Mus musculus: one gene and its partners. The protein of the gene in region 6 interacts with the protein of the main gene of each other region in a pairwise test. Links are inferred from orthologs where the notes say so. Each region holds a gene or a part of one and is shown on either strand. Other genes may lie near its edges. The genes, in order: Ube2v1, Sf1, Ubash3b, Dtx2, Rbfox1, Fam168a and Ss18l1.

Region 1 (3,500 bases), on a different chromosome or scaffold from region 6:
AGAGGGTCTGAGGAGCAACACTGAAACCTGAGTCTGCAGGGTCAGGGCCTCGTGCTCCAGCTGTCAGGCTCCACATCAGACCCGATGGGTGGCCAGGGTGACGAGAGCCCTGTTCAAACCTCTTCAATGTGTAAAAGCAAAGCAATGATGGGAAAAGGAACCAACTCAGAACCGTGTGCACTGAGGACTCCGCATGGCCTTTCTCTAGGCATCTTTTCACCAAGGACCCTGAGCGCTGGCCGGTCCGAGTCGCCCTGTGACTGCTGTTTACCTTAGACCTGAGCACAAAGCTCGAGGGCTGACGGTGGCAGCAGGGCTGAGGACCCGGCGCTCCCTTCCCAGGCTGGTGGCAGGTGAGTGTGGTCCGGAGCTAAGTGAGGGAGGCCAGGCAATTCCAACCTCATCTGATGGCTTCTGGCCACAGCAAGTGTTGGGTGGTGATGGGCAACAGGGGAGTTGAGGAGGGGAAGCAGCACCCCTTGATAAAGGTGGGGACACGGGAAGCCCTGAATTCCTCACCCGCGGCCAATTTCAGAGGGAGGGGAGGGTTACAATCTAAGCTTTGGCCAAGGGTGGGAGTGGAGGAGTGGGGACCATGGCTTGGATGGGGCATCACTTAAGACTTAAGAAGCAGGGGTGCAGCCAAAGCGCCCCAAGCCCAGCAGTAGTCAGTCCCACAACTGCTACCTGAAGCCTTCCCATCTATTCTAAGGGCCACCACACAGCTGTGGCGGAGGGCGGGGCGGGCAAAGGCAGACCCAGGCCAAGGGCCAGCAGCAGGTGATTGTGTGACGTGTCTGTTCACAGTTGCGTTAGCTGTGCCCACCGCTCCCACAGGAAACCGATTTCAACACCTTCTTGATCCCAGAAGTTCAACCAGGCAGACAGCGGTTACACTCAACAGTTGATGTTACACAGCACAACTTAGGTATTTCAAATGGACGAGAAGTTAGTATCAGAACAGTGTCTCAGGATGAAGGCTGAGTGGAGCTTCCTCTCCGGTACTTTGAGGTCTACAGATGTATCTAGAAAATTCACTACTGTGGAAAATGAAGACTTGGGTTGGATGGGGAGGGGAGGCCGGGGCCTTGGTGACTAATTGCTGTAACACTGTCCTTCCGGCGGCTGTGGCAGCTTCATGTTCTCTTTTGACATCATCAGGCGCCGCAGTTCCTGCAGGATGACTTTGATGCTGTGGGAGTTCTGCCACTTTGCCAGCACTGCCGTGGCTCTCGGATCCACCTGCGCAGAGGCAAATGCACACATTACTGTAGACTCAGCAGCAAAACCTTCCCGCCCTCCCCGGGGCTGATATGCCCAGCCCACAGGCCCATCAAACCCATGGGCTGGGCCAAGCTGCCCTCCTGCAGACAGTCTTGCCTCCTTTTTCTGGGTCCTGGCATGAAGAAAACTAGCAGAGCCTGAGGCACACAGGGAGACTTAACTTGGCCAAACTGGGCCCATCCTGACCAACAAGCACCTGGCGCCCATGCCCTGTCCTTTCTCCAATGTGTACCCAGGGTGGGGCAGGTAGCAAGAGCAGCCATGGTGCCCAGGTCTCTTAGGTCACTAAGGAGTTAGTGGCTCCGACACAGTAACACATAGGACAAGTGGCTCCAACACAGAACAACATAGGACAAGTGGCAGGAATGCTAATTTCTACTTCTCTGGCCCATCTTCTGAAGACTCCTAGGACAGGACAGGCACAGCGCCTCCAAGCCTCTAGCAAGCAAGACACAGATTGGGGATTTACAGCCGAGGTGTGGCCAGCCTGTGTAAGGCCTGAGCTCTACAGAGGGCTGCAGTTGTAGACAGCGCTGCAACCTTGACCTCTCAAGGTCAGGCCTTCAAGGCCATGGACAACGCTAATGCAGGGGCTCAGACAGAGGGCTGCCATGGGTGGAGGCCAGCCAGGGCTGCACAAGCAAACAGTATTAAAAAATATCCCATGGCAGGGGCCAGGACACAGGAGGTAAAGATATGGGAATAGTTCTGCCTCAGCCCCAACTTCCCAACTCTACCTCATGGTGCCATGGACACTGAACACTCTTTTTTTCTTGGTTTTTCTGTGTAGCCCTGGCTGTCCTGGAACTCACTCTGTAGACTAGGCTGTCCTTAAACTCAGAAATCCGTCTGCCTCTGCCTCCCAAGTGCTGGGATTAAAGGTGTGCGCCACCACGCCCGGCTGACAGCCAGTGCAGGGCTCCTGCAGTGACAAGCCACAATGGAGCGGCCCTGCCCAACGCTGCAGACACAAGCGCACCGTGATAACCTACAGGCAGGCAGTGGGGGACTCACCACTCCATTCGAACTGCTCACGCCGCTCATATTGACTCTTGTTACGAATCTTACAGACGGGGGTGCCTCTGGGTACTTAGGCCCACACTCTATCTTAAGGCTGTATATTCGGTTTTCATAGATTGTCTGGAAAAAAGGAATAGAGACAAGTTACAGAGACCTAAGAGAGGTACAGCTTCCAACACCTGGGAGACACCGTTGCCCCAGACTGCCTGTCGTGGGTGCCTCAGAGACGGAAGCACAGGACAGACACAGGAGGAAACTAGGGTTAAGTGTCAATGAGTCCGACCTGAGGCCACTTCTGTAGCATATGCCATCTGCCCTCAGAGCATTCTTTCTCTTATGTAGTCATGGTGACCTAAGATGCCACCAGCATCAAGTGAGTGAAGCAGAAGGCCAGGCAGCTGAGGCACCAGACCATCAGGGACAGCATCAACTCTGAAAGGTCAACTGTGTCTGGGCGTGATGGTACCCAGCTGTGACCCCACGAGCTGAGGATCATCCACAGGCACACAGTGACCTTGAAGGCCTTAGGAGTCTGGGCTATGAATATCACTATCGCGAATAAATGAAAACACCAACTGCTGAGGGCTGTGGGGATGGCTCAGAGGGTAAGGGGCTTGTCATGCAAGCTTGTCAAAGCAGAAGGAGGAAGACTACAAAAGGTGTCTGCTGACCTCTACCCACAGTTACAAAGCCAACCATCCAACCATCTCTTCACTGAGATACATAAGAAGACGGGCGTGGTGGCTCACGCCTTTAATCCCAGCATTTGGGAGGCAGAGGAAGATGGATTTCTGAGTTTGAGGCCAGCCTGGTCTACAGAGTGAGTTCCAGGACAGCCAGGGCTACACAGAGAAACCCTATCTCAAAAAAACCAAACCAAACCAACAAACAAAAAGAGACCCACAGGAAAGTGAGGCCCACACCAGCACCTGTAATGTTCAACAGCAAATTGTGCCTGGCCCAGCCCAATCATGTGTGGAACATCCACCCCGAGTGGAAACATCACACAGCCCTGAACACCTGGCTGCAAGCACCCTACTCTGTGACTGTGCCTAAAGACAACACTGCAGAGACCTTCCACATGGGACCTGTGCCCTGGACCAGGGGCCACGCCTCTTTATCAGGCAGGGGGCACCCTCTCCTTAGGAGTCTTGCACACAAAGCAGTTGCTCCTATGCACACAGTGACACCTACTG
Region 2 (4,123 bases), on a different chromosome or scaffold from region 6:
TTCTACCACTCAATTGTATTTTCTGCCCAGACATTTGCTCTTTCTCTGTTCTATGGCCATTTCCTCCCTACCTGTCATAGTCTGTTGACTTGTACCATCCACCATACTTGAGTTTCTTATCTTTGTAGTCTCTTTATTCCTAGATTACTCCAAACCTTCTGTTGTCTACATGTCTACTTTTCTACATCATTTTAAAAGATTACTTAGTCTTATGTATATGGGTGTTTTGTCTGCATATAAGTCTGTGCACCATATATATGCAGTGCCTGTGAGGCCAGAAGAGGGTTCTGATATCCTGGGACTGAAGTTACGGATGGTTGTGAGTCACCATTTAGGTTCTAGGAATCCAACCTGGGACTCTGGAAGAGTAGCCAGTGCCTGGTCTTATCTGCTATTTCTCTAGCCACTCTAATTACATATTAAACACTGTTTCCCCTACTGGGTCTAAATAACCTCTCTGTGAGAACCCTATCTATCCCCAGTTCTATTATGTTGTGCTAACCTGTTTCATTACTCTCATGTTTATTTCATGGGAAGGAATGTTTGGCCTCAGTCTCATTTACAAGTTCCCTACCATTTTTATGGGTAATTTTAAGGTACCCGAAACAAATTTCCAACGCATTGAGATTTCCCTGGAAGTGCACACTTTTAGACTAACTTTTGAAATGACTTTCTCTCCCCTCTCCAAGAAGGACTTGGAGCGCCTGACTTTTCCTTTACAAGAGTTAGTATGTGCCATTGAACCTGGATTTTTTGAGACAGATATACTGTACCCCAGGTTAGCCCCAAACTCATGTCAGCTCTCCTGTCTCAGCCTTTCAAGTTCTCGGGTGACAGGCTACTTGGCTACCTTGTACCGGAATGAAATAAAGTCTTTAAATACACCCACCAACTACCCTAGTTTTGAGCCATTTCGTAACACTATTTTTCAGAGAAAACAGGAAGTCTTTCTCTACTCTACCTGCAGCTTCGACGTATCCTGTTCGTCAGCTCGAGCCCGCCCCTTCGCCGCGGTCCCTAGTTACCTCTAGCACAATGACTAACGTCACTTAAGGCCTCCGTTCCGCCCCTCTGGGGAAGGGGGCGGGGACACGCGTGCCCTCCCTACGCATGCGCACCCCTGCTCTCCGCCTTGGTTCCGGCTTCTCCTCCCGGCTTTCTCCATTCTCGAGCGGCTGGCTCCTGGGGGAGGGGAATCGTTTCAGCCAATCGTGTGGCACTACGACGCCGAGGCGCTTACCTCCATCGGTTTCAGCCAATGAGCTAGCCGTTCTCTCACGTCACAGACTTTGCCCCCTCCTATTCCCCTGCCACTCTGGCCTCAGTCCGCGCAGTAACAAGGAGTGCGCGCTGCGACACCTCCCAGTTCCCCCGGCCCCGCCGCCATTTCGTCGCCGGGCCTAACGGTTCGGCCAATCCCGACCCATATTGAAAAGAGCCAGTGCTCCACCAATCGGAGGCCGCTGCCTCCGACCTCACCTCGGGCCGGCCCAATCCAGGCCGCGGCCCCTCCGCCCCGAGCCCGCCCCCGCGGCGTCCTTTCTCCTCCCTCTTTGTGCGTCTGGCGCCGCCGCCGCCCGCCGCGTGAGAGGACGGGCTCCCCGCGCTCTTCAGCCGCGTAGTCGGGTCCCCTCCCCCCCACCTCCAGCTCCCGGAAGGTTCGTGAAGGAGAAGTCGCCGCGGAGGACGAGGAACCGCTGCTGCCGGTCCCCTGGGGCGCCATGGCGACCGGAGCGAACGCCACGCCGCTGGGTAAGCTGGGCCTACCAGGCCTTTCCCCACTTCCTGGGCCCAGAGGCAGCTTCAAGCCCAGCCTATTGGCGCTCGGGACGCCGCTGCCGGGGGCCCTAACCACGGCCTTGTCCTTAGCGGCGGTGCCGTCACCGCCGCCGCCCCCGGCCTCGTACCCGCCATAGCAGCCGCCCCCGCGCCGCCGCCGCTCTTTTCAGCGAGGGTCGCCTCCGCGCCAGGACCAGCAGCCGGGCCAGCCCGGTGGCGGCGGAGGTGAGTCGGGCCGATAGAGCGCGAGAGTCGTCGGGCGAACCGAACCGGCCGACGGAGGGGCAACGCCACCGCGGTTGGACGCGGCGAGGACGCGCGCGCGCGCACGGGAGGCCCGGGCGGACGCGCCACGGGGAACGCGCGGCCTGGTTTGGGAGGCTTCGATTGCGCACGCGCACCGCGAGAACCAGAAGGGCGGGAGGAAGCGTTCTTCGCGCAGACGCAGTGAGGCGTTCAGGCTTTGTGGCGCAATTGTGGTAGTTTTGGAAGAAGCCACCTGTTGCCCCCTGAGCTCCTGCTATGGAGGACAGGAGAGTCAGGTCCACGGGACGACGTGGTGTGAGTGGCTCCCTTGATGGTTTTTAGCAGCCCCGTGGCAGGAGTGTCTCCTTTCACAGTGAGGCGAGTTCGGAAGGCTACTAGGGATGCTTGAGTTCGATCATTTATTAAAGGTTTTCTCCTTTTGTTTTCTAGAAGGTTCTCAGAGTGACCAGCTTTCCCCGTGCTGTTTTAAAAGGCTTTTTCTCTGGGCCTGTAATCTGAGAAGTAGAAAACCTTGTGTGGTAAATGTAGGGAAGAATGTAATAAATCAGAGTTCTGATGACAAGTGTCCACTGGTCAGGAAAACTGATCTTTCCACGAGTAAGAATGGTCATATTGAAGGATGGCATGTTTCCCACAGTAATGTGTAGCAAGAGATTTGTTGTGTACTCTTGTAGCTTGAGTTCCAATGCTTTGTGGGCCTCATTCCAGTTTCCTCTTTTCTGCCCTTTAAGGCATTCAGAATTGATAATATGTATCTGTACACTTCTGATTCTGGGTTTCTGTGCATTAAGTCTTGGAAGCAAGGGCATGATGGTTCATGCTTTTAATCCTAGCACTCTGGAGGCAGAGGAAGGTGGGGCTTTGAGTTTGATGCCAGTCTACATAGTTTAAGACTGCCAGGGTTCTCTAAAGGGACTTCTGTCTCAAAAAACAAACAAAAGATCCAAAGAGTTGGAGATATGCATCAGTGGTAGAGCTCTTACCCAATATATGCAAAAACTCTGATGTTAACACTACAAAAGAAATGTGTTCCTTGTTACATTCTCTAGTATTTTCGTTTTAAAAGAACTAAATGTGAACTGTTCCTTAACTTTCCTGACAGGAGGATCTTTAAAATGGCTGCTTGTTTTCTCTGACCTCTGAGATTTCTTTCTTTTTAAAAATTTAGGTGATTTCAGTTTAGTTTTAATTATCATGAACTGCTTGCCTTCTGGTTCATATTTCTGCCTGATGGGCTCTGTCTGTCTTTAGACTTCCCAAGTAAGAAGAGGAAGAGGAGCCGATGGAACCAAGACACAATGGAGCAGAAGACAGTGATTCCAGGCATGCCTACAGTTATACCCCCTGGACTGACTCGGGAACAGGAAAGAGCTTACATAGGTAAATACACGTTCTACATCCAGGTGCATCTTCAGATTGTTACTGCAGATTGTTCTGAGTGATGAACCTGTTGAAAGTCTTAAGATTTTAGTCATGGGAACAAGGTGTGATGAGCTATGCTTTCATAGCTGTGTAATCCGTGATTTGCTTGGCCAGTCCTGCATTTGCAGCTTCTTGTTTGGGCCTGCTCTTAGCTCGGCAGCCCCCTTCTCAGCTGCTGTTCTTGCTCATTGGTGAGGTGAATGCTATCTTCCTCTCTGGACAGGCCCCAGTGGAGAACACTGCAGGTATTGTAAACCAGTTGCTTTTTTGTAGCATGGCCTTTCACCATAATGTCATGGTTCCCTTTCCCTAAAATTGTGGTTTCGTTTTTTTATAGGTACAAAATAGTTTAAGCAAAAAGTGGCTCGGAAAGCATTTATAGTTTACCCATTTTGTTGAATTTAATCCTTCCCTTCAGTATCCTTTCTTGTTCCATCTTTAGAGAGCTGTCTTAAAACAGGCTCTTGTAATTTACCACTAAAGGACTCTGCTGGGAAGGGTTTACTGTTTGATTTGAAATGAAGTGGTGGCAGAATTTAAAAAATTAGGTTACTGTCCACAGTAGAATTAAACCTCAAAATTACTTAAAATCCAAGGTCATAATAAATGGAAGTTTTATATCTGTCCTGCTGTCTCAAAAAGTGCACTTGATAAA
Region 3 (3,500 bases), on a different chromosome or scaffold from region 6:
TGCTACCCACCTACTAAGTTTGAAACCACCCAGGTTTTCAAGTCTTCTACCAGAGTGTCACAGTACCATTTGCCTCTCCTCACTTGATCACATAGATACAGCATCCTTTCATAAGAAGCCAGAGTATATAATACAATAAGATGTTTTGTGCAAGACTGTAACTTACATTACAGTATATCATTTATTCTCACTCATTACTGTGACTGACTTATAAGTTAAATGTTATCATAGGGGTGTCTGGATGGGTGAAAACATAGTGTGTTCAGGATTTCACACTGTCTACACTTTCAGGCATCTAGTGGGGCTCTTGTGATGCATCTCCTGTGTCTAAGGAGGACTGCTGGTGGTTGGTGGCCTACACAGCAATGCATACCTGTCTCGGCCTCTAGGGGGCACCGTCAAGCTACTTTTATGTACAATGAGTCATTATTGACGTAGTTAGAAAGTGCCTGGAATCTCAGAGTCCTTCTTGATTGTTTCAACTCTTAGGGGAGAGATAAGCATTCTTGTCCCCATTCTATAAACTGAGGTACCAAGGAGCAAAGAGTAGCCGTGTCTTGCCTACGCCCATACAGCAGAATCAGTTCAGAGACATGAACTGGCTCTGTGGCCAGAATTCCTGCCTTAAATCACCGTGGGGCCATCCAGTTCAGTTCTCCCTCGAGTGACATTTTGAGACTAGGAGTCTTGCCTTTATCTAGTTGTTATATTTACTGAGCAATCCCCTCGTTTCCGTCATCAGCAGGCGGTAGTGGAGTCTATGTCGTCTTCTGAGGAAAAGGTGTCAGGTTGAGTATTCCCCACTGCCCTCAGATGGTTTGATTAGTGTCTTTTGACCAAGGAGGAGGAGGGGTCAGAATCACAGAAGAAAGTTTCGAGTAAACAGAAGACTATATAGCCTTTATTTGATCTTCTCCCCCTAGGCCGCTACATACGCACCAACCTGAACATGCCTCACAGTTTACCTCAGAGGAGCGGCGGTTTCCGGGATTACGAGAAAGATGCTCCAATCACTGTGTTTGGGTGTATGCAAGCAAGACTAGTGGGTAAGGGCTCTCTGTGACTGCGTAGCATCTTCTGGCTCCTTCAACAGAGCTGCACCGCGGGGGTGCAAACACGCTTTGTGGGACTTGCCTTTTTGTTTGTTTGGTTGGAGACAGGGTCTTATAGACCAGGCTGCCCTAGAACATCAGATGTTCCTGGCTCAGCCATCTGAGGACTGGGATTGCAGGTAGGCTCCTGCTGGTTGCAGATGTGTCCCCCGCTGAGGAATGAGGGAAGGAAAGTCAGGTTTGGTTTACTTACTGGTGTAGTAGATGTTGCTAGCTCATGACAGCAGCATCTGCCAGCGTGGTATAAGAAGATGTGAGGCTAAGGAGGCGGTGCAGGAGCACTGCTGAATCTGTCCAGTGATGTTTTGAAGCTGTTCAGTCCTTTGAAAGTATTTCTGTACTGGTTTTAACAGTTGTGCAGAAACCATGCCTTGTACTCTAAGGTCATCATTTACTTTGGGCAAGTTCCTGGACTAGGTAACAGAGACTCAAGGGTGAAGTTCCATGGAAACACACGTATGTGTTGTGGGTGACTATCAAACTATAAGGCTGACTAAATAGCAAACTCTACACAGAGTGTATGAAGAATATTAAAGAAAGACAAAGGGTAGAATGAAACAAGAGAGGGATGGAGGGAGGAGGAAGAAAGGATGATTAAGAGGCAGGGTGAACTGGGGCCTCCAGTGAGAGTCATCTGAGTGAAGAAGAGGGAGAGGGGCCTGGTTCTTGGTGTGGAGGGCAATAAACAAAATCAGAGGTCAGACATAGCATTGAGAGATCCCTGCAAGACATGGTCAGTGAGTTCTCTCTCTCTCTCTCTCTTTCTTTCTCTTTCTCTCTCTCTCTCTCTCTCCCTCTCTCCCTCCCCCCCTCCTCCCCCTCCTCCTCCTCCTCCTCCTCCTCCTCCTCCTCCTCCTCTTCTTCTTCTTCTTCTTCTTCTTCTTCTTCTTCTTCTTCTTCTTCTCCTTCTCCTTCTCCTTCTCCTTCTCCTTCTCCTTCTCCTTCTCCTTCTCCTCCTCCTCCTCCTCCTTCTTCTTTTTCTTCTCCCTCCCTCTCTCTCTCTCTCTCTCTCTCCCTCTCCTCCCCCCTTCATAAATATGTAAGAATAAGTAGCATTAAGCGTACAGGGGATATGAGCTCTTCTTGGTTTTAGAGCAGAGGTTGAGGCAGGTCAAGAGAAGGAGCTAGCAAGATGAGCAAGTCCATGGAAGACATTGACACCACATGAAGATACTTAAAGTTTACATTGTAGAGAAAGGAAGTGATCCACACAAGGAAACAAACAGTAAAGCATCAGAGCAGTGGATGTTGGGTTTGGACAGCTGAGATTGGGGCTAGCACACTGGAATTGTAGCCATGTCTGACTGTTACAGTATCAGTTCTCTCCCTGGTTTTAGCATCTTCCTTGTAGAGGTCAGAGCATTATCCTTTGTAGCCTCCCTTAACAGGGCATTTTACTGTGTGCTGGCACCAGTAAGAAGGAAAGGAAAAGGAAGAGGCCCGTTGTTTGGCCCTCTCCATGGATGCACTATTGAAGGGCCTGACTACTAGGCTCTCTGCAAGCTCCTACTGGGAAAGAGAGGATTATGGGTCTCTTGACACCATTCCAGTGAGGGTCAGGATGATCAGTCAACCATCATGCTGATTGTCTGTTGATTTACTCGGCAGGTGAAGCCTTGTTAGAAAGTAATACTGTTATTGATCACGTGTATTGCTCACCATCCCTCCGCTGCGTTCAGACTGCACATAATATTTTGAAAGGTAAGGCTCTTGGCTGGACAGAGGTTACATGCTCCATCCTTCTGCTTCCTGCCCCTTACTGCAGGGTTATGGGGTTTCAAAAACGGAAAGTTTACTTTGTTTTTTTGTTTGTTTGTTTGTTTGTTTTTGAGACTGGGTTTCAAGGTGACATGTAGCCTAGGTTATCCTTGAACCTACAGCAATCCTCCTGCCTCGTCCTCCTGAATGCTAGGATCTACTGGCTTGAGACACCATGGCTTGCAGAAATCTAGAACTTTTATTGAGGTTTCTTCTGCAAGGTGACAACCTTACACAGTATAATCCAGATAAATAAAGGGAGAATATTACTATGTTTTCCTTAAGGATTTTAAGCTGTCTTAGATGGATTGTGGCTGGACAGAAGATTTATAACTTTTACAGAGAGGATTCCTTTTGCATTTAAGCAGTGAGACGATCTTGCCTGATTTCTAGATATTTTCTGTAGTAACTGAGTTGTTGAGTGTTCCACACCATCACCATTTTAGTTTCTTCAGTTAAGTGGAAAGACTTATTCATTCATTCATTCATTTATTCATCCTTTCTTTTACTTTTTGAGACATAGTCTGACTGTGTAGACTTGATTGGTCTGGAACACACTGCATAGACCAAATTGGCTTCACACTCACAGAAATCCACCTGCCTCTACCTCCCAAATGCTGGGATGAAAGG
Region 4 (3,500 bases), on a different chromosome or scaffold from region 6:
ACACCATATTGAGGCAGTAGGTTCAAAAGGGCTATGGGGACAGGTCCCTGCAGTTCCACCCAGACCAACTGTGGTACCTTGTTCCCGTTGCAATACATGGCCAGCAGGCACAGCAGGTGGAAGGCATGGCTGCACTTGGTGAGGCGGCCCACGACCATGGGCCCGAGGGCCTTGCTGTCAGTCATGTCACTGTACCCAGAAGCCACAGCCAGTTTCTCCATACAGATAATGCAGTCCTGCAGGGAGCACATGACACACACTTGCCACTGGACCCACTGCATGGGTCACAGTGAGCCAGCACAAGGTACAAAGTCCTGCCTCTGTCAGAAGAAGGGGATGCTAGGCCATCAAGTCAACTCAGAGACTATTCTAGAACATAGGGCCACATAGGTACCTCTCACTTACGTCCTTGAAAAGCTGACCAAACCCCGCAGGCCACGAGGCAAAAACAACAGCACAATGGTGCTTACTAGAGACAAGAGCCAGAGAGGAAAGGGTATCCCTTAGACAAGGCCACCTTGTTCCTGAGCAGAGCGACAGTTGTGCCTACCCGACAAGCTGGAGGGGAAAGCACACTGTTCAGGACCTCCGCCCTCTGCTCTGCCATGAGGTGAGAGTGAGCTCCAGCCACCTCATCTTAGCGATGTCCACCTAACCATGAGAGGCTGGACCCAGTGTCAGCCCCTGGAAGACCCTGAGGACCAGAATCCCCTCCCAGGACACATACCTCTTCAGGGGCCACTTTCAGCTCCTCGGTGTACTTTCTGATCACCTGCTCCGGCTCGGGCTTAGGCGCCCCTTCTGGAAGAGAACGGGATGTGAGTGCTGTCCCAGGCATGCAAGATGGGGTGAGCAATGCTAAGGGAGGAAGGAAGCAGGCAGGCAGGCAGGCAGAAGTTCCGGCTGCGGAGAGGAAAGGTTAGCGGGGCTGAGACAAGAGAGTCAGCACAGGACACCTGACCCAGGCAAGCTGCTTAGAGGGGGCTGGGCCACCAGGGGAGATCACAGAAGCGAAGGATGCATAACAGACCAGCATGTACCCCTGAGTCATGTCCCCCAGGAAACTACCTCAGAAGTGTCAAAGACACTTTTGTTCTGAGAGCAAAGCACCCCAGGAGACGCTGGCAGTGCTGCCTGTCCACTGCCAGCACTTCCGAGGACACTTCAGTGAGAGAGGTAGTTTCCAGTCTAGCGGCGGTGGGAAGGGCCACATGAGTACTGTGTGCACTGAGAATGCTGGCTGGCACCTCACCCCACCTTGGGACTGGAGGATCTGGGTCACAAGCCCACTGGGCTCGTTAGCTGAGCGATCCTGGAAATGGCTGGCTGTGTGTGGGGGCTTAGGGGAGCCCTGAGCTAGGGACCAGAACTCTCCAAGAAGCAAAGGAGTTGGGACAGAGTGGACAGCAGGGTCTCAAGAGTCTCAGCCAAGCTAGAGAAGGGACCAGGGAGAACAATGGGGGCATGAAACGGCCACCCTGCCACCAGAGGGCACAGCGGGGCTCCTGTTTGTGGCTATCTTGAAGCCCTCAGCCATGGCTACAGGTTTATAACCAAGAGCTGGGCCATGAGACCCTCCAGCTAGAAAGGCAGGTGACAGCCACATGGCAGGACAGAAGTGGGGTCAGGGGACAGAAGGCTTGATCTAGTTCATGTGTTATGACCAAATTCGACCACCTCAGAGACCGTACAAGTTGTCACTGATAGGAGGATCAGCTGTTAGCTCCTGGGGAATGTAGAAACCAGCAGAGGGTACTATATACGTCATATGTCTTATCCTCACCAAAGACACACACAGACACACACAGAGAGACACACACACACACGTACCACTACCTCTCACAATCCCTGCATACACTTACATTCTGGCCACTGGCAAAGAAACCAGACAAAAAGACCAAGGGTACTATCGCTACCATAGAGGGGATCAGGGAGCCTTTTAGAAGAGCCCAGTCAGTCAGGCCTGGTGGTACAATGCCTTTAAGAACCTTGGGTAAACAGCAATAGTTTGTCTCAAAAACTGGTCTGTGGCTACAGGTCTCAGGAACCCTCTTCCCGCACTAGCTCCTGACCTCCCTCTGTTCGGGACCAGCGAAGCACGTGGCTGCCCACTCACACACACAGCTTTCAAGAGCTGAAAGGAGCTTCAGTTACCATCATTTCCCAAAGTGGGCAGGCCAGCCACATCAATCCCATGAGAGGCAGCTACACCCAAGAAGGCCACGTGTCTGTATGCTTCCCCATACTAAAAAGCTGCCAGCCTGCCCAGCCCACAAAGCTGCCTCCACAGAGGCAGAACACAAGTGTGTGCAGACAACTAGGACTGTTAGTTTAGCTGGTAGACTGCTTGCCTGGCATGCAGCGAGCCCTCCCTGGGTTCTAACTCAACGCTACATGAACCGGACGTGGTGGGAGATGCCAGCAAGATGATCAAAGTTCAAGGTCGGTGAGGCCCCCTGAAGAGACAGCAGTGTCTCAATCTGCACCAACACTGCAAAGTTGTCCTGGGTGATAAGCCCATCACCCAACAATGCCGACAGGAAAATGCCAGTAGCCACCTGTGCTGGCAGACAGGGCAGGGAGAAGAGATGCAGAAGAAAAGGGTCACGGACGGTGGGCAAAGAAGAGAGTCCAGGCAGCAAGGTGTGGAGGAAGCTGAGCAGGGCTGAGAGTGTGTGTGAACCACAACTACCTTTTACGGACATTTTCCTCAGCCTCTTAACTGAGCTGTGACTTTTAGAGGCCGGACGGGAGGCGGGAGGGCCGGTGGGCCGGGGTGCACGGCTAAGACACACAGGGAGTCCAATGGCTGACAGCACACTCGTCATGCCTGCACGGGTGCGAGATCAGACATGCAGAGGGGACAAACGTTAGAAGGAGGCATTTCACACTCGGTGTTCATGACCCTGCTGAGAGTGAAGTGGTGACACTGTGCACAGCCATTGAGACCACAATCTCCCCAGAAGAGGGGATCGGACCACTGCAAGGAAGGGTACCAGTGCCTCCCAGACCACAGTGCAGTGCTCCAGGCCAGACACCAGAGAACCTGGGCTCCAAGTTCCCCAGGAGTCTGCACAAGCAACAGCCAAGCCTGTGCCCGCACTATGCGGGGACAGAGTAAGGGACAAGGATGGTGGCTTTAAGAAAGTAAGGGCAGAACAGCCCAGGGGCCTCCTGAGTGGTGTCTCCCACGCCAGGAGCAGGGAAGGAAAAGACAGGAATGTGGCAAGGTGCAGCCAAGCTGTGGCAACAGGAGGTAGTTCCAGCAGCGCTGGCTCCAAGAGCCTGGGGCCTTCCCTTGACTCTTTGCTAGAGCCACTTGGCCTGGCTGTGCCCTCTTGGCTTGTGATCATCTGGCCTCTAGGGAGATGCTTTCCACCAGCTGCCCACAGCCCTTGGACTGTGTCACCCTGGCAGGCTCCAGAATCACCAGGAGTAGGAACACATCCACGAGTCTCCAGACTAACTGGGCTAACTGAGGCAAAGACTGCTCTCACTGT
Region 5 (4,116 bases), on a different chromosome or scaffold from region 6:
TACACATACCAGCTATATAAAATCCCTTCACAGATGAAACACAGCACCAGCAAGTCTGCACCTACTCTGTGGCACATTTCTAGATCACATCTCACAGTGCAATGCCAGCTAGACAACTTACCTAGTGATTGTGTGTGTGTGGGGGGGCGGTTTAAACTCAACACTGCTTCCTACTAGCTGCAAAGTGGCTGCCTAGTGTGAGTCTGGATTCCTGTTGGGTACCACTTTGCTTCCTGGGTCTGGGAATTAGCCCCTGCATCCGAGATGTGGAAGAATGGAGCTCAATAACCCACAAAGCTAATTTACTCAGATTTCAGCTATTATTTTGTTACTCATGAATTGCCTTTTCAAACTGAAATTGGGTGAAGAAGGGGTGGAAAGTGAGCCCACTGTTTTGAGACAGTTTCATGTAGCTCAGGCTGGCCTTAAGTTTGCTATACAGCTGAGCTCCCAATTTTTCTATACCAACTTTCTGAGTTCTAGGATTATAGAGGCTATCCACCACATACTGAGTATTCTTAGATAATTTTTGATCAGCTACCCACATGAACCTGCTAGATTTGAGTGTTGTTGTTATGGTTGTTGTTGTTCTTATTTGTTTGGTTGTTTTTGGTTTTGTTCATAACTGTGGCGGAATGGGTATAGGTGTGAAAATGTATGTGCTGTGTTCAAAGGGTGACCTCCAGGTATCTTTCTTTATTGCTTTTTACTTACGCTTTGAGAGAGGGTCTTCCACTAAACCACTGTACATGGAAGTTTCTGTTTGGCTATGCTGGCTCGACAGTTGAGACCCTGCATTCTCCTGTCTCTGTTTTCCCAGTGCTAGGAATGTGTGACACATTGCCTGATTTCTTACATAGGCACTGGAGATCCAAATTCCAGTCCTCAGGCTTATATGGTAGTATACAAACTCACATAACAACCAGTTGCAATTTAGAACTGAAGTCTAGGCTCTGGTGATGATTTTTATGTGGGTAAATGTTTAAGTTCTTTAAGTTGCAACTGATTGTCATGTAAGCTTACACATTTCTATTACTTATTCTCTCTAAAAATCTCATGCAGACCCAGCCCCTTGCAATTTGGCCCAGTTCCTCAGGACAAATGCCTTCTCTTTTCGCCTGATTCCCTGTCACTCCATCTCCCTTGGTCTGAGAACTAAATTAATGAAGAGTATTTGGTTAGTCATGTTGGGCGAGCTGCTCCCAAAATAGCTCCTTCCATTTTGGTAGCTCCGACCGACCCTGCAGCTGCCGCGTCCCTTCCTTGTCTGGGAAGAAAACTTTCACATTAAGAGTTGCTGATGCAGGGTTTTGTTTCCTTTCCCTCTCCGCTGCCTGTGGATGAGCACTTGGCTCCTGACAGAAGTGATTTGGCTCTCGGCTTTGTAGTTGAGAAGAAGTTGGGTCTATAGATTTCTTTCCCCCTCTAACTCTCTATTGATGTGTTCAGCCTTGGAGGGAATAAAGCCTCCATTTAAAGCATGTTGGCGTCGCAAGGAGTCCTTCTGCATTCTTATGGCGTGCCCATGATTGTGCCTGCTGCCCCCTACTTCCCGGGACTGATGCAGGTAATTCATGGCTTTTGCCAGCAAGCAACTTAACTCCAGAATGCTCTAAGTAATAATTGGAATTTTTATGGTTGAGAAAGCAAACACTTTTAATACAGGAAGAGAAAAAAAAGCCCTCGTGTAGTCAAAGGAAAGACAGTAGGAAATCAAAAAGATGGATCACCTTAATCTGGCTATTGACATCTCTCATGGATGAATAAATGGTGTAGTTGAGCTGTATTTGCTTGTATTGATCTGGGTGCTGTTTAACATTCATGCCTTTGCTTCGGGAGGTTGACCAGGGGGCAAAAGATTTGCTCTCTTCCCTAGCTTTCTGAGGGACTGGGTCTCCCAGAGCAGATCATGAGGCTCAGTAACTTATCATGATATGGCTTGCTTAAAGGCTTTAACCCCGGAAACAGAAGGGCAGGAAATACAGAGTGCTGCTGAGGACACCCCACACAGGTTGTTGTTTGCAGAGAAGCTTCCCCTTGCAAATCTGAGAGGCGACCCACAAACAAGAGGGTACACTGAGAATGGTCTCGCTAGGAAGTTCAGAGGTTATTCTGCAAATTCGATGCCAACTGTTTGTATTCTCGGCAGCTGGGGAGAAGTTAGGATGCCTGTTGTTTTGACTGCTAAGGCTATTATTCTGTGTACCGAGAGGTTTGTGTGCTAGCGAGAAATTGGACCTGTTTCTTTGCCTTATTGTACCTCCTTGCTGTCACTCAAACCCACTGCTTCTGGGTGTACGCCTGCAGTTCTCTGGGAAGCCAACATCCACTTGTGATAGAAGTGGGTCATTGTAGGAAGCAAGTGGCTATTTGTTGCTGTTCTTTAGAAATAAGCAACCCTAAGTAATAAATCCTAAATCTCCTTTCTATGGGAAAGGAAAATTAAATATATGCAGTACAACACTTTAGCTTTTTTTCCTGTAGCCCCACTCCCACCCAGCCCTCTCTGAGAGTTCTACAAAACTCTAATTCATTAATGACGACTTCTGTGGAGGATTGAACAAATATTCTTTTTATTCTTTGACTGTGACTGTGACTGTGACCTTCTATTAACTGTCAGAAGCTGGGTGGCAGAATGCACCCAGACGTCAATCCCGATAGCATCAGAACTGCCAATTACCCTAGATGTATGGATACTATTGCTACACTTCTATGTTATAGGTAAATAGACCAGCAGAGAATGGCCCTGGCACCAAGGAAGGGAACTTGTGGCCAGATGGTGACATGAAACTTAGGACTTGAAGGTGAAGCAGAGTAACAGTGCTTTTGGCTTCTGTTGGAAATTTGGGGTGAAGGTCAAAGGCTGGAGTTTTGTCGGCCCCTGTGCTGCCCTATCCGATAAATAATTACAAGCAAATCGCTCATTTCAGTCCGTGCTGATTGATGCTGAAATTGCTTTTGAAAGTTCTCATAAGTTCCTGTTATAGATTAAGTGCTGGTGCAGGAGAATAACGGCACCCACAGAAATGGGTGAATGTAATCAGGTTTAATGGACTCGAGAGCTTGTTGGGAATTAAATAACTATCGATTTGCTGGGATGTTTCTGTCATTACAAAATGCCACTCTGAACGTATTACCCCAATGATAGATGAGAAGACGCTAGAACCAACTGCAAAGCTGGGAAGGCACTATTTCTTCCTCTTTGGCAAAATGTTCAAGAAACATAACTGGTTAGTGTGGAATGGAGCAAGTTATTTTACTTGCAAATGTTAACCTGATCCATTCTCATTTGTTTCCCAAAAGGAAACTTCTGAACTAGTGACCTACAAGTCCTTCTGTGTGTGTCAGTGAGGAGCCTCCGATGAGCTACTGGGACCCACTGCACCCTTCCCCTCTCCTCCACACAGAGCACACTGCAAGGCTGTGCACATGAAGGTGCTAGCCTTCTTGCTGCTTTGTGGAGGCTCAAAGAAACTAAACCCCCTCCCATTGCAGTTTTGTTCTTAAGGAAAGGATGTGGTATGATAGAATAGGTAGGAAATTCTAGTGCCTCTTTACCTTTCAGCTTGCACTTCCTGCCCTAGCTACCTTGGCCCTTAGCTTGAGGAGTTTCACCCCGAGTCAGGAATAAAGGCCCTTTTGCCAGGATTCAGATTTCTTTAGCAACTTAGTGATTCCAGCAAGACAAGAAAATGAAGAGGACTATGGACTCATCTTTGCTAGGATCCCTTGTGCCTGCATAGTTGGGAACAGCATGAATGGTTATGTGCAAGGGCCACTGGCGAGCTGCTTGAGATGCTGTTCACAATTTCACAGTCTTTCTAAACTCAACAGCCAACAGTTCTGTGGCCAAAGATGTTCCTTTTTGAATTGCTGCCTGAGACACTTTTGAAATTCAGGCCAGTGTGGCTTAATTTTTCTGCAGTTAAAGAAAAAATAATTTGCATTTTTTTTAAGTTTTAAGAGAGTACCTGACTCATGCTACAGTCAGTACCTACAGATGTGTCCTTACGTGTCTAGTGAGGTCCCTCTCATGGCCTCTTCTTTAAAGTCAGTCCCATAGTTAACATGGGATTTCCATTCCTACTTTCTGTTTCTCTGGAAAACCAGTGTCAC
Region 6 (4,025 bases):
GTAGGTGGGAAATCAAGAGGTTGTTGTATTTGGAATATCTATAGCTGTATCTGTGTGTGTGCGTGCAAGCATGTGTGTGTGTGTGTGTGTGTGTGTGTGTGTGTGTATGCATATGAAATAACCTTTTATGTTTAAAAAACGGTGTGTGCTTCCTTAAACAATTCAGACAGTATAAAAGATAAGAGGAACCTGAAACCTAACAATTCTTTCTTTAAGATAATCACTGATAACATTTTGGAGAATCTCTTCACTGAAATCTTTACGCTTTTATATCCTCGAACTTCAAATAAATCGAACCTGTCTAATCTTGCTGTTTTTGCTATCAATTTGCCCCTCTGACAAGAAATTGTGAAAAGCCTTTCATGTCTAAAGATATTTACCATCATTTTAAATGGCTGCTTAGCATTACGTTGAATACATACATCACTATTTATTAAATCAGCCCTCTATTGATGAATATCTACATCCTTCTCAACTCATATTCAACAACCTCCTATAATAACCGTGGGCATTGTTTTCCAAAAATTTTTGATAATCTTTTTAGATTAAATACTTATAAGTAATGTAAATGTAAACAAATGTGCTTTTTACATGAGGATTTAAGTTGCAGACTTGTCCTCTGATTTTCAGGGATGCCAGGGAAGCTGATGCAGCATTAGTTCTGGCGAGACAGTGACAACGGAGATGGCGAGGAGAGTACAGAATTACAGGTGATGTAGCCAATCTAGGCCCAAGCTCAGTGGGTTGGAATAGTCCTTCCCCTTTTTCTCTCTTTCACTTCTTTTTTTCTTAACATGGAGGAAGGACTGAGAACTGCATGTCCCAGCATTTCGCAAGGACCACACTCCTGGGAACTGTAGTACCGGGTCTGAGAGGGGTCCGGAAGGAGAGAATGGGAAACTGTGTGCGGCATGCTGGGAGGTGTAGTCCCTTGGGCGGAAAAGAGTGCATGTGTAGGTTGTTTTGCTTCATGGAGATGAGGCTGCGGAAATATCCAACTTCCCTCCCAAGAGGCCTTTGAGTTTACAAAAGCCCGTGGGAGTCCATTGTCTGTGACCCAAGAGGGTGCGGTCCAGGACCGGAGCAGGGTTGGGAGAACCAGGCCGCGCAGGGCCGTGGCAGAGCATGCCGGGAGTTGTAGTTCAAGAGCTCGGAGGCTGTGGGACGTGTCGGGACAGCGCGCCGACTCCTCCTCCCCCGCCCTTCTCAGCGGTCCCCCGCCCCCTCCCTCCGCCTCCTCCTCTCTTGCCTGCAGCCGAGCGTCCCCTTCCCCCACTGTCGGGTTTCTCCGCGGCTACTGCAGAGGATTCAGATCTGAGTAGCTGAGGAGAAGGAGGAGGAGGCTCCCGTCCCTGCGCGCCATCCACCACCCTACTGGACACGGACGAGGGAACGAGAGCGTCGCCGCTGTAGCCTCCAGAGAAGACAAGGGCATCGCCGCTTCAGTTGCGGCCGCCGCGGTTTTCGTCTGCAGCAGCTCGCCGGTGAGGAGACCCCCCCTCCGCCCCCCGGCCCGCTCCCGTGGAGCCAGGGCTGGTGGCGCCGGGGAGAACGAGGGTGGGGGCTGTAGGGCCCCCGCGCCGGCTTGGGGGAGGGGACCGAGGTGGCGATGGAACGGCGGGCTGGTGGGGGAGACTTGTCCGTACGCGGGCTGGGAGTGGGGTGAGGGTGGGACAGCAGCAGGTCAGGGAGGGTAGCGGAGGGGGGTGAGGGGGTAGGACTTTACATGGAGGGATAACCAGACCAGGGATAGGAGCATGGGGTGTGTAGGGTATTGAGGTGGAATTTGGGATTGTCTTGGGGCGAGGTGGAAGGTGAGATTGGAGTGGGATGTCTTTTAATGGGGGATGGGACTGAATGAAGGTGATGATTTGGGGTTGGCCTGAAGCAGTTGACAGCTTGTGATCAGAGCGGGGTGGGGGCTAAGGAGATGATTTCAATGCCAGTGGGATATAAACGTTGGATGGGACTCTAGGGAGTGCTAATTTTGGAAGGTGGGACTTGGGGTGGACCTGGGGAAGGAAGATGGAGATGGTAGGAGCTGGGGGTGAGGGCTTTGGCATGGGTTGAGACCCCAGCTTGAAATGGGCTGTTGTCTTCTGGGGATGATGGAATTTGTGAATACTTACGGAAATAGGGCTTGGAGAGAACAGAAGAGGTAGGAATTGTTTGGGGTTTTCTTGAGGTAGGCTGCTGCTGGAGGTTTGAATTTGGACTGGTAGTGATGAGACCTCCAACTACAGGAGATGGATGGATGAGGTAAGCTGACAGGAGGGAGTGAATTGTAAGTTGGGCCCCAAATAGGAAGACAGGGATTGAAATTGGGGATGAGGGCTCAGTGGAAAAGGATTTAGGATGAGTTTAGAGTCTCTGGAAGGAACAAGGTGGCTCCCCTGAGCGGAAGTTGGAGGTAGAGGATATGTCAGACTACTCAGCTGGACTCAACTAAAATAATTCTGGCAGGTGTCGAGCAAGGTTAGTGGATGGTATCATAAAGAAAATGTCTCTCTGCCAGTTTTGCAGAAGAAATGTCTGTGATAAGCTGGTTACCTGTGGTGAGGTGGCAGCGGGGATGGAGTGGGTCAGTTTATTTAGGAAAGGAAGGATTAAGATGTCCTCCAAGACACACCAGAGGTTTAGGGGTTAGAACATTTACATCAGCTGCTTGGGTGAGAGACAGTAATAACAAGACCATTAGAAGGGTCTTCACAGGGGACAGAGAAGGTACATTAAAGATTCTCCTAGAGGATATCTCATGCTATCAATTTGACCTTTTTGTTTTACGTTGGAATTGTCTGGAAATAGCAGCCCCAAGGGTAAAGTTATGAGAGAGCCATTTAAGGTAGAATTAAGGGAGAGTGGGGAGTCTTGCAGTTCCTATGTCAAAAAGGGAAAGTTGGGGGCTCTCAAAGCAAAGGTGGGAGAAGGTGAAACTGTCTCTGCTTTCTCCTTTCCCCCTCCCCCTGGTAAACTGAAACTAGTCCCGGAATTTGGAATTTAAATAGACTTTGATGAACTTGAGGTTGTTAAGGGTGCATTCTTGCTTGAGAACTGATTAATGAGACTGAAAAATAGGAAGACTGAATTTATTTTCTAGGCAGGCAAGGTGCATGTATGCAGAAAGAGGTTAGCAAGCCCCACCTCCCCCCAATAAAATTGATTGCTTGAAGTCTCCATTTATTGGTGTCCTGGTTTGCAAGGCAATTAGGCCCATCATTGTATTGCAGGCTAATAATCCTGAGATGAGTCTTGGCACCATCACTTTATGTAAACAGAGAGAAGACAGGAAATATAGAAATGTAATAAATATTCATTCTTTGGTGAGATGGTTTGGTACTGATGGAATTTTTCATTCGATTCTCTTGACATGATAAGCTTTTAAATAATTGGGCTGTTTCTACAAATTGAATTTTCTTCTAGAGAAATTCAGGTGATCAGAATTCTGTCAGGTGTGAATAAAAAGTGTAACATGCAACCATATTTTGTTGTTAAGAGGATGCTGTTGATGTAGGCACACTGCATAAGAGAATAACTGCATCTGTTCATCAGAAATTTGATGTAAAGGTTGTCGATGAGTTTATTCTTGGGGTTGGAAGGCTCAGAGGAATGTAAGGAGGGTATGTCTTCAGGAAGACTGTTTTCAGGTTTAATTTCATTAACTCTAATATGTTAAACTTGACGTGGCTGTTGATTAGAGTGTAGTCTAGGGAAAAAAGAGGAGAAATGGAAAGGAGATAAAATTGATCTCAATGGGAATTAAAAATACTTTCTTTTTTCTGTTAACGTTTTAGTGTTCAGCTAGAAAGCAAAGCATTTTTCTTGGTATTTATAATCGAACACATAAAAATGCCCATTTAGAGGGTGGATTATCCATGGAATTAGAAATGTCTTTTTTTTGAATTAATTTTTTTTAATTAGGTATTTTCCTCATTTACATTTCCAATGCTATCCAAAAAGTCCCCCAATACCCCCCCCCCACTCCCCTACCCACCCACTCCCACTTTTTGGCCCTGGCGTTCCCCTGT
Region 7 (3,500 bases), on a different chromosome or scaffold from region 6:
GGCACAGTGGTTCAGACACTACACCCCTCGACCTAGCAGTGCTGGCCTCCAGCGCGTCTCAGCCGCGTCATTGGTGTAGGTCTGTGGAGTTGGGTTTGCGGGCTGCGCTGCAGGGCTTCACTTGCCTCGTGCATTTGGCAAACAGTGCAGAGTTTGACCATGTTGGGGATTTTGCTGCTGGGAGACAAACATGGCCATTCTTCCAGCTTAATAGCCCAGGAGCTAGTAGGATGGCTGCTTTTTTTAAGAGCTTGTAGCCCCAGTGTGGAGACCTTCATGGTGCTGTGGGAATGGGAGGGAGAGGGACAGCTGTGTGCTGTTGCTGTGAGGCTCTGAGACAGAAAGCCTTGCTTCATAGCATTTGCCCCTCCGTGGTGTAAATGTGTGTGTTCCTCCTGGCTGACAGGCATCATCACTGATGGGATGCCATGGAATGTGGAAGTAAGAGGAGAGACACAGTCCCTGAGCAAGTTGAGAGTCAGGGGCTCAATAGGACTTAGCATGCACTTAGCACGCATGCGTACATACATACATACATGCATAGTACATATTTATTATTTTAAAAAATGTGTGTGTGGCCATGTGCACCCTCACTGGGGCCATCCTTAAAGACCAGAAGAGGGTGTTAGATCCTCTGGAGCTAGAGTTATAGGTTGTTGTGAACTACCTAATGGACTCTGAGAACCAAATTTGGGTCTTGTGGGAGAGTAGCCACTTGCTCTTAAACCTCTGAGCCATCTCTCCTGGATTTTTTTTTTTTTTTTTGGTTTTTCGAGCCAGGGTTTCTCTGTGTAGCCCTGACTGTCCTGGAGCTCACTTTGTAGACCAGGCTGGCCTCGAACTCAGAAATCCACCTGCCTCTGCCTCTGCCTCGTGCTGGAATTAAAGGCGTGCGCCACCATGCCCGGCTTCTCCTGGATTTTTTTTTGTTGTTTTTTTTGTTTTTTCCACACCAGGTTTCACTGTATATCCCTGGTTGTCCTGGAACTCTATCTGTAGACCAGGCTGACCTTGAACTCAGAGGTCTGCCTGCCTCTGCCTCCCTCCTAACCCTAACCCTAACCCTGAGTCCTGGGATTAAAGGCTTGTGCTACTACTGCCCGGTGAAATGTTTAATAATTGACCTATAGTCTCTCTTAGAATAACTCCACATGGAGGTGAGTGTCTGTGTATGTGACACTGTTATGTCACATGTCATATGATTTAGCCCACAGGTTTGACTCTGCCTGCTTGGTCTCACTGAGCCCTTCAGACTCGATTCTCACCAGCTACCTTATTTACATTTTATTCCTTCAAAACGGAACCCCTAGTAGGTAGAGCACTCCTCTCAAGCCTCTGCTGTGCTCTGCTCATTTGATGTACAGCCTCTCAGGGCACCAGTTGGGCATCTTGGGACATCAGGCCTTCGCCCCTCCTAGCTCTGGAGGCCTGAGATCTGAGGTCAAGGTGTCTTCAGAGCTACCTTCTGCCAGCTCAGGGCAGGTCTGCACCAGGCCTCTCCAGCATCTGCTGCCTGCCATCAGTCTGGCTCTCTCTTGGCTTGGAGAGACATGTTCCAGACTCTACCTGCATTGTCCTGTGGCCTCTGTGTATCTGCTCAGATTTCTCTGGCTTCACGCAGACCCTCACGCTTGGCATCCACTGAAGATCTTGTTTCTGACTAAGGTCCCATTCATGTCTTAGGAAGTAAAGGTAACTTTGGAGGCTGTATTTTACTTTTCTTGTTGCTGGGACAAAACACCTGACAGAAGAAACTTAGGAAGGGTTTACTTTGGTTTAAAGTTTCAAGTACAGTCCGTGGTGGCAGGAGCCTGCGACAGCTGTTGCATCCACAGTTGGGAAGCAGAGGGAACAAAAGGTGTCTCAGCTCCTTTCTCCTCTGTTCATTCAGGGACCCCAGGCCATGACTTGGTGTCACATACATTTGGTTCAGCCTTTCAAGAAACACCTTCACAGACAAGACTGGGTTGTGTGGTTGTAAATCCAGTGACCTTGACGACTAACAGTCAGATGTGTGCGGTGGAACTTGATCATTCAGTGCGCAGAACTGTCACCTGAGCAGCTACATCACCCATTTTATATTATCTGGCTTTTCGATCTTATTTTATAAAATATTAAAACAGAAATGCCATATGAGCTGAGCAGTGGTGGCCTTTAATCTCAGCACTTGGGAGGCACAGGCAGGAGGATTTCTGAGTGCAAGGCCAGCCTGGTCTACAGATCGAGTTCCAGGACAGCTAGGGCTATACAGAGAAACCCTGTCTCGAAAAAAAACAACAAACAAAGCCATATGATATTTGAGCCATCATGGGAACATACTGCCTCTGGAGACATGGTGAAAGGATTCCTTGGCTACTCACTGTCCTGTGGGTAACAGGGAGCCTCCTGCACTGCCCAGAAATGAAACTGTGCCCCTTCTTTCTGCAGGAAACTCCCAGTACAGTCAGCAGCAGGCTGGGTACCAGCAGGGCACAGCACAGCAGCAGACCTACTCCCAGCAACAGTATCCCAACCAGCAGAGCTACCCGGGGCAGCAGCAGGGCTACGGTAAGAGGGATGCCTGTCTCCTCACAGAGGACCCTCTGGTGTCTGCCGTGGGCCGCGTACACTGTGATGGAACTGTTTAGGCAGATGTTGAGTAGGCTTATTTTGGTGTGGCTATTGATCTCTGGAGAGGTTGGGGGTTGTTTTAAAGGATTGCCATGTACCCAGTACCTGCCTCCCTGTATCTAAGATCATCATTTATCCCTGTACAGTGGTCACAATCAGAAACCAACATTGGGTCCTGGAGAGATGGTGCAGCTGTTAACAGAACTTTATTCTCTTGCGGAGGACCTGGGTTTGGTTCTCAGTATCTACGTAGTAGATCCCAGCTGACTGTAACTCCAGTCCCAGGGGAGATCTGACTCCTTCTTCTGGCCTCTGCTTGATGAGAGTGATGTGCAAATATATGTGCAGAAGGAAAGAAAAACAGGGCTGGCGAGATGGCTCAGTGGTTAAGAGCACTGACTGCTCTTCTGAAGGTCCTGAGTTCAAATCCCAGCAACCACATGGTGCCTCAAAACCACCCTTAATGAGATCAGACACCCTCTTCTGGTGCATCTGAAGACAGCTACAGTGTACTTATTTATAATAAATAAATCTTTGGGCCGGAGCAAGCAAGGCCTGAGTAAATAGGGTTAACCAGAGCGAGCAGAGGTCCTAAATTCAATTCCCACCAAGCACATGAAGGCTCACAACCATCTGGACAGCTATAGCTATAGTGTACTCATGTACATATAAGTAAATCTTTAAAAAAAAAAAAAGGAAAAGAACAGCCTCGGGCAGGCCATGAGGCGTTGAAAGTCTCCCTGGGCTGGACTGCAGCTCCATGGCAGAGTATTGCCATCTGTGGTGATCACACACACACACACACACACACACACACACACACACACTAATATAACAACTAAACAGATGTGGGGACTTTAGCAATCCTCTCCAGAGCCTTCACCTTAGTC

The links.
Region 1: the proteins of Fam168a (region 6) and Ube2v1 interact in binary tests that used the Homo sapiens proteins (3 or more experiments, as listed by UniProt). The two-hybrid records come from large-scale screens. The link is inferred for Mus musculus from reciprocal best matches to the Homo sapiens genes FAM168A and UBE2V1.
Region 2: the proteins of Fam168a (region 6) and Sf1 interact in binary tests that used the Homo sapiens proteins (3 or more experiments, as listed by UniProt). The two-hybrid records come from large-scale screens. The link is inferred for Mus musculus from reciprocal best matches to the Homo sapiens genes FAM168A and SF1.
Region 3: the proteins of Fam168a (region 6) and Ubash3b interact in binary tests that used the Homo sapiens proteins (3 or more experiments, as listed by UniProt). The two-hybrid records come from large-scale screens. The link is inferred for Mus musculus from reciprocal best matches to the Homo sapiens genes FAM168A and UBASH3B.
Region 4: the proteins of Fam168a (region 6) and Dtx2 interact in binary tests that used the Homo sapiens proteins (3 or more experiments, as listed by UniProt). The two-hybrid records come from large-scale screens. The link is inferred for Mus musculus from reciprocal best matches to the Homo sapiens genes FAM168A and DTX2.
Region 5: the proteins of Fam168a (region 6) and Rbfox1 interact in binary tests that used the Homo sapiens proteins (3 or more experiments, as listed by UniProt). The link is inferred for Mus musculus from reciprocal best matches to the Homo sapiens genes FAM168A and RBFOX1.
Region 7: the proteins of Fam168a (region 6) and Ss18l1 interact in binary tests that used the Homo sapiens proteins (3 or more experiments, as listed by UniProt). The two-hybrid records come from large-scale screens. The link is inferred for Mus musculus from reciprocal best matches to the Homo sapiens genes FAM168A and SS18L1.

The regions. Positions count from the first base shown.
Region 1 is NC_000068.7:167,608,006-167,611,505, forward strand, and holds part of Ube2v1 (ubiquitin-conjugating enzyme E2 variant 1), read right to left. Parts: intron 2,425-3,500; coding exon 2,299-2,424; intron 1,243-2,298; coding exon 1,096-1,242; 3' UTR 1-1,095. UniProt on the Homo sapiens protein: Has no ubiquitin ligase activity on its own. The UBE2V1-UBE2N heterodimer catalyzes the synthesis of non-canonical poly-ubiquitin chains that are linked through Lys-63.
Region 2 is NC_000085.6:6,362,367-6,366,489, forward strand, and holds the start of Sf1 (splicing factor 1), read left to right. Parts: upstream 1-1,323; 5' UTR 1,324-1,721; coding exon 1,722-1,752; intron 1,753-2,153; exon of another isoform or gene 2,154-2,340; intron 2,341-3,297; coding exon 3,298-3,426; intron 3,427-4,123. UniProt on the Homo sapiens protein: Necessary for the ATP-dependent first step of spliceosome assembly. Binds to the intron branch point sequence (BPS) 5'-UACUAAC-3' of the pre-mRNA. May act as transcription repressor.
Region 3 is NC_000075.6:41,025,563-41,029,062, reverse strand, and holds part of Ubash3b (ubiquitin-associated and SH3 domain-containing protein B), read left to right. Parts: intron 1-923; coding exon 924-1,046; intron 1,047-2,720; coding exon 2,721-2,813; intron 2,814-3,500. UniProt on the Homo sapiens protein: Interferes with CBL-mediated down-regulation and degradation of receptor-type tyrosine kinases. Promotes accumulation of activated target receptors, such as T-cell receptors and EGFR, on the cell surface.
Region 4 is NC_000071.6:136,025,800-136,029,299, reverse strand, and holds part of Dtx2 (probable E3 ubiquitin-protein ligase DTX2), read right to left. Parts: intron 2,831-3,500; coding exon 2,693-2,830; intron 802-2,692; coding exon 728-801; intron 237-727; coding exon 78-236; intron 1-77. UniProt on the Homo sapiens protein: Regulator of Notch signaling, a signaling pathway involved in cell-cell communications that regulates a broad spectrum of cell-fate determinations.
Region 5 is NC_000082.6:7,068,519-7,072,634, forward strand, and holds the start of Rbfox1 (RNA binding protein fox-1 homolog 1), read left to right. Parts: upstream 1-1,316; 5' UTR 1,317-1,480; coding exon 1,481-1,567; intron 1,568-4,116. UniProt on the Homo sapiens protein: RNA-binding protein that regulates alternative splicing events by binding to 5'-UGCAUGU-3' elements. Regulates alternative splicing of tissue-specific exons and of differentially spliced exons during erythropoiesis.
Region 6 is NC_000073.6:100,705,410-100,709,434, forward strand, and holds the start of Fam168a (protein FAM168A), read left to right. Parts: upstream 1-1,225; 5' UTR 1,226-1,484; intron 1,485-1,723; exon of another isoform or gene 1,724-2,250; coding exon of another isoform or gene 2,251-2,259; intron 2,260-4,025.
Region 7 is NC_000068.7:180,059,483-180,062,982, forward strand, and holds part of Ss18l1 (calcium-responsive transactivator), read left to right. Parts: intron 1-2,427; coding exon 2,428-2,547; intron 2,548-3,500. UniProt on the Homo sapiens protein: Transcriptional activator which is required for calcium-dependent dendritic growth and branching in cortical neurons. Recruits CREB-binding protein (CREBBP) to nuclear bodies.